2 linked regions of the Mus musculus genome follow. The protein of the gene in region 1 purifies or fractionates together with the protein of each later gene. This does not show direct contact. Links are inferred from orthologs where the notes say so. Each region holds a gene or a part of one and is shown in the gene's direction. Other genes may lie near its edges.

Evidence for each region.
Region 2: the proteins of Ncbp3 (region 1) and Ddx39b purify together in Homo sapiens (co-immunoprecipitation; 4 studies listed by BioGRID and IntAct, with this or other methods). This does not show direct contact. The link is inferred for Mus musculus from reciprocal best matches to the Homo sapiens genes NCBP3 and DDX39B.

What each region holds. Positions count from the first base shown.
Region 1 is NC_000077.6:73,064,740-73,068,384, forward strand, and holds part of Ncbp3 (nuclear cap-binding protein subunit 3), read left to right. Parts: intron 1-248; coding exon 249-374; intron 375-831; coding exon 832-960; intron 961-1,943; coding exon 1,944-2,020; intron 2,021-2,963; coding exon 2,964-3,072; intron 3,073-3,645. UniProt on the Homo sapiens protein: Associates with NCBP1/CBP80 to form an alternative cap-binding complex (CBC) which plays a key role in mRNA export. NCBP3 serves as adapter protein linking the capped RNAs (m7GpppG-capped RNA) to NCBP1/CBP80.
Region 2 is NC_000083.6:35,240,365-35,244,562, forward strand, and holds the start of Ddx39b (spliceosome RNA helicase Ddx39b), read left to right. Parts: upstream 1-1,381; 5' UTR 1,382-1,488; intron 1,489-2,313; exon of another isoform or gene 2,314-2,390; intron 2,391-2,452; exon of another isoform or gene 2,453-2,471; intron 2,472-2,748; 5' UTR 2,749-2,875; coding exon 2,876-3,086; intron 3,087-3,710; exon of another isoform or gene 3,711-3,771; coding exon 3,772-3,899; intron 3,900-4,091; coding exon 4,092-4,184; intron 4,185-4,198. UniProt on the Homo sapiens protein: Involved in nuclear export of spliced and unspliced mRNA. Component of the TREX complex which is thought to couple mRNA transcription, processing and nuclear export, and specifically associates with spliced mRNA and not with unspliced pre-mRNA.

The sequences.
Region 1 (3,645 bases):
TGTTTATTTGTTGGTGCTAACCCCTTCCTCTATCTGAGTCCTACCTGACTATTCTGCATCCCATCATTTGCTTATTGCAGGTCAATATAAACATTTAAGAAGTCGACCCTACCCTCTTGTTCTGTGTTCTTTTGAAATTATTACTGTTTCAGTTTCTTCCTCTTCTAGAATCATTATCTAAACCATGGTAAAAAATTCTTAGCAAGCTGTAAATAGCAGGTAGGAAAATTCTGTGTCTTGTTTTTTAGCAATTCCCAAGGTGAGACTGGAGACAATCTACATTTGTGGAGTGGATGAAATGAGCACCCAGGATATCTTCTCCTATTTTAAGGAATATCCTCCAGCTCACATTGAGTGGTTGGATGACACCTCCTGTAAGTATACCTACATTTTCGGTGTAGTATGCTTTCGTTTATGATTTTTAAGGAGTTCTTGCTATTTTGATAGTGAATAATTATTGCCCAAACTGCCTATGCTTAACTTTTGTCCTTAGCCTAGGAGAAAAAAGTTCACAAGTCTTAGTCTAGCCCCACCTGGCGTAGCACTGGGAATTCGCTAGCCTTTGCCTGCCACACGCTAGGATTGTAAGTGTGTGCTGCCACATTTGGCTTCAGGCAGTTCCTTGCTCAGAATAGTTATTGGTGGAATTGGGTTTGGGAATGTAGCTCTGGAGGACATTCATGAGACATTTGCCACCATTGTCTGCTTTTTTCATGAGCTGGTTTTGATATTGACCAACAGCCTTTGTAGCCAGTTAGGCTGTGGCAGTGAACCTGATGCCAAATCTGCTCTCAGGAAGTTACACTCGGGTGTGCTGATGCTCTATCGTAGGCAATGTGGTTTGGCTGGACGAGATGACGGCCACACGAGCTCTCATCAATATGAGTTCTCTGCCAGCCCAGGATAAGATGAGAAGCAGAGATGCCAGTGAAGACAAGTCGTCGGAGAAGAACAAGAAAGGTAACTGCGCACAAAGAGGGCCCTTGCCGCCCTGTGCACCGATCTGTTCAGGGCCTTGAGTAGATAGAGCATTGTGAATACTGCCTCACCAGATGCCGCCCTGTGCACCGATCTGTTCAGGGCCTTGAGTAGATAGAGCATTGTGAATACTGCCTCACCAGATGCCGCCCTGTGCACCGATCTGTTCAGGGCCTTGAGTAGATAGAGCATTGTGAATACTGCCTCACCAGATGTCGCCCTGTGCACCGATCTGTTCAGGGCCTTGAGTAGATAGAGCATTGTGAATACTGCCTCACCAGATGCCGCCCTGTGCACCGATCTGTTCAGGGCCTTGAGTAGATAGAGCATTGTGAATACTGCCTCACCAGATGCCGCCCTGTGCACCGATCTGTTCAGGGCCTTGAGTAGATAGAGCATTGTGAATACTGCCTCACCAGATGCCGCCCTGTGCACCGATCTGTTCAGGGCCTTGAGTAGATAGAGCATTGTGAATACTGCCTCACCAGATGCCGCCCTGTGCACCGATCTGTTCAGGGCCTTGAGTAGATAGAGCATTGTGAATACTGCCTCACCAGATGCCGCCCTGTGCACCGATCTGTTCAGGGCCTTGAGTAGATAGAGCATTGTGAATACTGCCTCACCAGATGTCGCCCTGTGCACCGATCTGTTCAGGGCCTTGAGTAGATAGAGCATTGTGAATACTGCCTCACCAGATGTCGCCCTGTGCACCGATCTGTTCAGGGCCTTGAGTAGATAGAGCATTGTGAATACTGCCTCACCAGATGTCGCCCTGTGCACCGATCTGTTCAGGGCCTTGAGTAGATAGAGCATTGTGAATACTGCCTCACCAGATGTTTCTGAGGTAAACTATGATACTTGGGTCTATCAGTTAATAGGAATAGGGAACACTGGGCTTTTTAAACTTTACGAGTTTATGATGGGGTTACATTAAGGTTCCTCTTGTCCCTCACACTCCATTTTAGACAAGCAGGAAGACAGTTCAGATGACGACGAGACTGAAGAAGGAGAAGTGGAAGATGAGAATTCAAGTGATGTAGAGGTTAGTAATAGGGCAAAGATATCTAAGGTTTTATTGGAAAAAAATAATGCTTACTGTCTTTTTAAATGTCAGATGTAAAGACTTAGTAAGCTATGTTCATGTAGCCTTTTAGTTTGTGTGGATGTAACAGTTCATTTTGGAGTCTTAGAATAGTGTTCATATTTGTGTAGAAGAGAAAATGGGTTTAATAAGAAACACTTTGAAGTGTTATCTAAAAAACAAGTAGTGTTTGTCAGAAATGTTGGAGAGTGTTCATTTGAAATATTTGGGTTAGAGGTGGGGGGCTTGCACATGTTAGGCAAGTGCTGTGCTTCTGATCTGTGCCCTCAGCTAAGTATATTCATTTCATGTTGAATTATTTAAATGGTAAGTGTTTACTATATACCAAATTCTGGGAACAAACTATCAGGGTTTTTTTTTTTTTTTAAAGGCCCTTGCCTCACTGGAGGCTGCATTTTAGAGGGGAGGACAGATACACAGTTGCTGCTAGGAGACACAGTGAGCACTCTGAAGACTGTAAAGGGTGAAGGGAGAGAGATTAAGGGCTGCAGGGATAGTACATGTTGTGCTTGCAGGGGACCTGAGTTACACTTCCAGCATCCATGTGGGATGGCTTACGACTGCTTGTCATACTCACTACAGGGTAGCCAACTTTGTTCTGTCCTCTGTAGACAGAACTCATGTGCACATAACTCCACACAGACACTTTCCTGTGCACATAATTTTTAAAAAGTGTTCATAATAAAGGAGATAGAAAATGATGGGGACTATTTTTTAGGCGAGTTAGTCAAGGAAACCCTGACTTCAGAGTCGCCGTAGGAATAGATGCTGTGACACTGATGGGCAGAAGGCTTCTTAATGGGAACTGCACAGAAAAAGTATGAAAAATGCTGGAGTTTTATGTTGAAAGTGTTCTCCTTTTTTTTTTTTTTTGTCTTTTAAGTTGGACACGTTGTCTCAGGTAGAAGAAGAGTCTCTGTTACGAAATGATCTTCGTCCAGCTAACAAACTTGCTAAAGGAAATAGACTATTCATGAGATTTGCTACAAAAGGTAAACTTGATCTTTGGTATTGATTTTTGGTCAGAATGATGAAATTACTGAGTAAAACTTAGCTGTTGACTAGAAGCGAGTTCAAATAATGCCAAAGCTCCTTTTAAACAAATAATTTATGAAAAAGCAGCTTACTGACTGAGGGGGAATTTCATTTACATTTGTGTTTGTTAGTGTGTCTTTATTTCACTGTTAGCCTGCATGCCTGTGATGCACTTGGGTCCCATTTAATCCTCCTCTTGTTCACACATCCCCTTCCTTCCCCTTTTGACCTCCCCTTTTACTTAACTCTGGAATTCCACATATAAAAACAAACAGGGTGCTTTGTTTTTGTTTTTCAAAGCAGGGTAGCCCTGCTCTGTGTATCCCTGGCTGTCCTGAAACTGGCTCTGTAAGCCAGGCTGGCCTGAAACTCAAGGATCTACCTGTCTCTGCCTCCCAAGTGCTGGGATTAAATGTGTGAGCCACCGTATCTGGCTTAACACTTTGTTTTTATGAAGTAAATTTTATTAAAGTAGGAGATTTGTTGGAGCCATAGGTGCTGGGCACTGGAACAAGGGCCATTGGCAGTGC
Region 2 (4,198 bases), on another chromosome or scaffold:
GTGGCCCAGGTTTTAAGCATTGTTAAAATCACAGCCAGCTGTTAAGACAATCCCTTCCTGCCCTGGCTACCTTAACGAGGACTGTCAGCATGGCCATTTTGAATCTTCTATAAAGTCTTTGAGGAAACCACACAGCTAATGGCTCAGCCAGGATTGTTTCTGTCCTCTCTCTCCTCCCCCAGTGGAGGGTGGAACTTCCCATAGTCCAGTAGCAGGAAGATGTGTTATCACTGATGCCAAAGGGACAATATTATGATTGGTGCAAACACAAGTCTTCATTTGCACGAGTTTGCTGTTTGCTGTGTTTGGTGCAAACACCCTTTGCTGGCTGTAAAGCAGAAAGTTTGGCTCACTTGGGTCAGCTGGGACAAACCTTACTATGCTACCCTCCACAATGTCACATTAGGTCCAGTAACAGGAAGACAGTGGCTAAGAGCCCGCCAACTAGGTCACTAGGAGAGTTCCTGGAAACGCTTCAAAGCTAAAGGCCCAGGTACCGCACTTTCTGGAGCTACAGTTCGTAATAAGTTACCAGGGCCGAGGAATTCCCACTCCTCTCTGATTTATACAAAACCCGCCGGCCTGCTGCTTAGGGCTGCCAAATGCGGAGGGATCAAAAGCTACCAAGCCCCAGCCCAGAGAGCTTATGCGTTGAGCAGGACACAGCCAGCTGGTTGGCAACACTGATACTTAGTGTTACTTTGTATTAATATTAAGTGTCCTTAATAGGGAAAGCCCGAGCTTGTGTTTATGTAGCAAGGCAACAGGACAACACTTCTGCTATATGTAACATCTCAAAGGGAATACCACATGGGGGGAGGGGGATGTCCAGGCTGAATAATGGAACTGAGATTATTCTGCTGCTCTAGTTAGCAAGAATTATGGAAAGGTGCATAACCTCAAACCCCACCATTTATTTAGCACCTAGACAGAATGTAAGCCTCCATCTTTCGATATAATTTTGGGTAAATCCTGCCTATTCTCTGCACGACTGTAATGGGCGTGGTCACGTGTCCCCCTCCCCTCCAGCAGAGGCCCGAGTTAGCCGCTCTCGGGTCACCTTGACTACGAGGCTAAGGACCCCGTGAGAAACGCTTCTCATTCGATCGCGGAGTCCTCCATGCCCACAGAGAGGTGCCCAGGGAGAAGCCTGGCGTGGCAAACAAAACTAAAGTAGAGCCGACCGTCGGAGGGTGTTGCATAAGCGTAGAAGAACAAAATGGAGAGCTCTGCGGGGGAAGACGTGAGTTTCCTGTCGCGCTCTTGCTACTGGCGACCGGAGGAGGCGTCGTCTGAAGCTTCATTTCAAGTGGGCGTTCTGCAAAGCCAGCCGCGGAGCGCGCGCGGCGAAAGCCTGCTTCCGGCTCCTTGCGCGTGCGCCCTGGCGGCCGGGAAGGCGGGAGGCCGGGGCGAGCCTGGAACCGGAAGTGAAGGCAGCTTCCCGCCTCCGTCCCCGTTGCTGCCGCCATACACGCTCGCAGTGCTTAGGTAAGCTTTGGCCCTGTGCACCATCCACCGCCATCTGCTTCTCCCGCGGCTCGCCCCGCCGCGCGGGTCCCTGATACCCGGTGCCGGGCCGGCGCCGTGGCCGCCGGCGCGCAGGCGGGCGTCCAGTTCTGTTGTCTTCACCCCTTTCTGAGAGCAGATCTTGGCGGGGAGCTGGGAGACAAGGGGGGAACGATCCAAAATGGTGGCCTCGGCCGCCATTGTGTCTCCGCGCTTCCTGGGTGTTCCAGTGGGTCCTCTGCCCACCCGGGGCCGCGGCGGCCGGAGGCGGCGCCAGGAGGAGGGCGGGGCCCCTCGCATCTCCCCTCCGGGCCTTTTCTTGCTCGCCCAGGGATGGGAAGATCTCGCTCCGGGGCCCGTCCAGCCCTTTGACCCCGCTTTCGCTGCCTTATTTGGAGCTCTCTGTGAATGGCTGCCTCTGTGCGTGGCCGATGGTGTCGCGCACTTCTGGGGAAGCTTTTCCGAGAGCACTGCAAGGCGTTCCTTTCTAAGGCCACCCGGCTCACACTCTTAATCCTGCATCGTTCTCAGCTGTGACCTTAATTCCTTAGTGCGACTTTTAAAATTAACTTTGGCAGCGCTGAGCCGAACCTTGCGGCCTCTCGCGTTACTAAGCAAGCACTGCCATTGAACTGCACACACCCATCTTTTTCAAAACAAAAAAATTTTTTTTTTCTTGAAATGGAGCCATTCATACACTTCCCACCCTCCGCCCCGCACCACCCTCCTTCCTGCTTCTGTTCCCCGGTCCAGGTGTGCGCCGCTGGGACGGCCACTCGGGGGTTTCTGAGCAAGAGAATAGCGGCAGCCACATGATGTTTGCATTTGGGAAGTGAGCGCTCTGCGCAGTGCTGACCCTTATCTATCACCCTTGACTGATGGCTGACGTTGGGGATCACCACCGTGAGGTGGCAGGAGAAAGCGCAGTCTCTGTCTTCCCTTGTCCTTTGTGTCTCAACCCTCGTGTGAGTCGTTAGTCACGCTCATTTTACTGCGGTCTCCCAGTTGGCTCCTGCCTGTCGAAGTGTGTGTTACAAAGTCTGGTTAGCGGTGGAGCCCACTCTGTCTCTCCCGTCTGGTGTTCCCGTTTCTTATGTCATGAGTCTCTTTGTTAACTCTTCTTTCGGGACAAAGGTTTCACAGTTTAGGGAAGAATAGGACGGGTGTAGGGATCGACGAGAAGTGACGAGTCCATTCGTGACTGATGAGTTTTTCCGGTTTTTTTGTTGTCCCCTCTCCCAGCTCTTCTGTCGGAAACTGGTGTCTTTCCCCTTGCTGTTCTTCAACCCCTCTCTTTGGCCCTTGCTTCCTCACCTGCTCTGGGACACCTAACTCAAGAGACCTCCCTTCTCCCCCTGCCGGCCCAATTATGGCAGAGAACGATGTGGACAATGAGCTCTTGGACTACGAAGACGACGAGGTGGAGACAGCCGCTGGGGCAGATGGGACCGAGGCTCCCGCCAAGAAAGACGTCAAGGGCTCCTACGTCTCCATCCACAGCTCCGGCTTCCGAGATTTTCTACTCAAGCCAGAGCTGCTCCGGGCCATCGTTGACTGTGGCTTTGAGCATCCATCAGAGGGTACATTTTATTGTTGGGTGTAGAGACCTTATTTAGCACCTCTGGTGCAAGAAAAGGGAGGTTCAAGTCTAGGGTCATAGGATTTGAATTTATTTGGGATAGGCCAAGCTCTGAGAATGTACCCAAGACGGCAGCTGTAGAAGAGGCTTTTGTTCTCCGTTAAACAGAGGGCTGCCATTTGTTCTGTGCCTGGCTTTTTTGCTTGGTTTTTGTCTTTCTGACTGTTCGGACTCCCAGAGAGGGCCTGGTTGGACCTTTAGTTCCCTTCTTTTGGGCCAGGCCAAGTGTCGTTTCCGGAAACCTTAACGATCAGGATGCTGGCTTCTGTGGCTTCTGGGTCAGGTACCAAGTCCTTCATTTTGTTCAAGGTTGCAGGGTTACATGACCCAAAAGCACAGCAACCTATGTAGGAGAAATGGCCTGTGGCAGTCGAATTCATAGATTGTTGCGGTGTAAGAAAAGTAAGTTTAGCCAGGAACGTGGAAGGTGAGCTGTTGGTAGCTTCACGAGGGTTCTTTCTTAGCGGAACTGGGGAGCTGGGGTAGGAGGGTTTGACTTGAGTGTAAGAGTGATGAGGGTCAGGGAAAGGATGGGGTCTGAAAGGTGACAAGGTGACATATGATGAGTCGGCTGGGGAGAAAGGGGTTTGGCACGGTGCAAAAATGTCTCTCCTTTCTCCTCCTAGTCCAGCATGAGTGCATCCCGCAGGCCATTCTGGGGATGGATGTCCTGTGCCAGGCCAAGTCAGGCATGGGAAAAACAGCAGTGTTTGTCCTGGCCACACTGCAGCAGCTGGAGCCCGTTACTGGGCAGGTATGTTGGGGGCAGTGCTGGAGAGGGTGTGGAGATTGAATCACCAGGAGGCCGTTTCTGGCTCCATGTGTTCTCAGCTGGTGTCCTCTGCAGTTCAAGGGGAATGTTCGCCAACATCACTGACAAGTTGCTGGATGCTCTTGTGACGAGGGGCTGACTTTACTGTGTCTGTCTCCATTTGCTCCCTCAAAGGTGTCTGTGCTGGTGATGTGTCACACTAGGGAGCTGGCTTTTCAGATCAGCAAGGAATATGAGCGCTTCTCTAAGTACATGCCGAATGTCAAGGTAAGGGGGGAAAG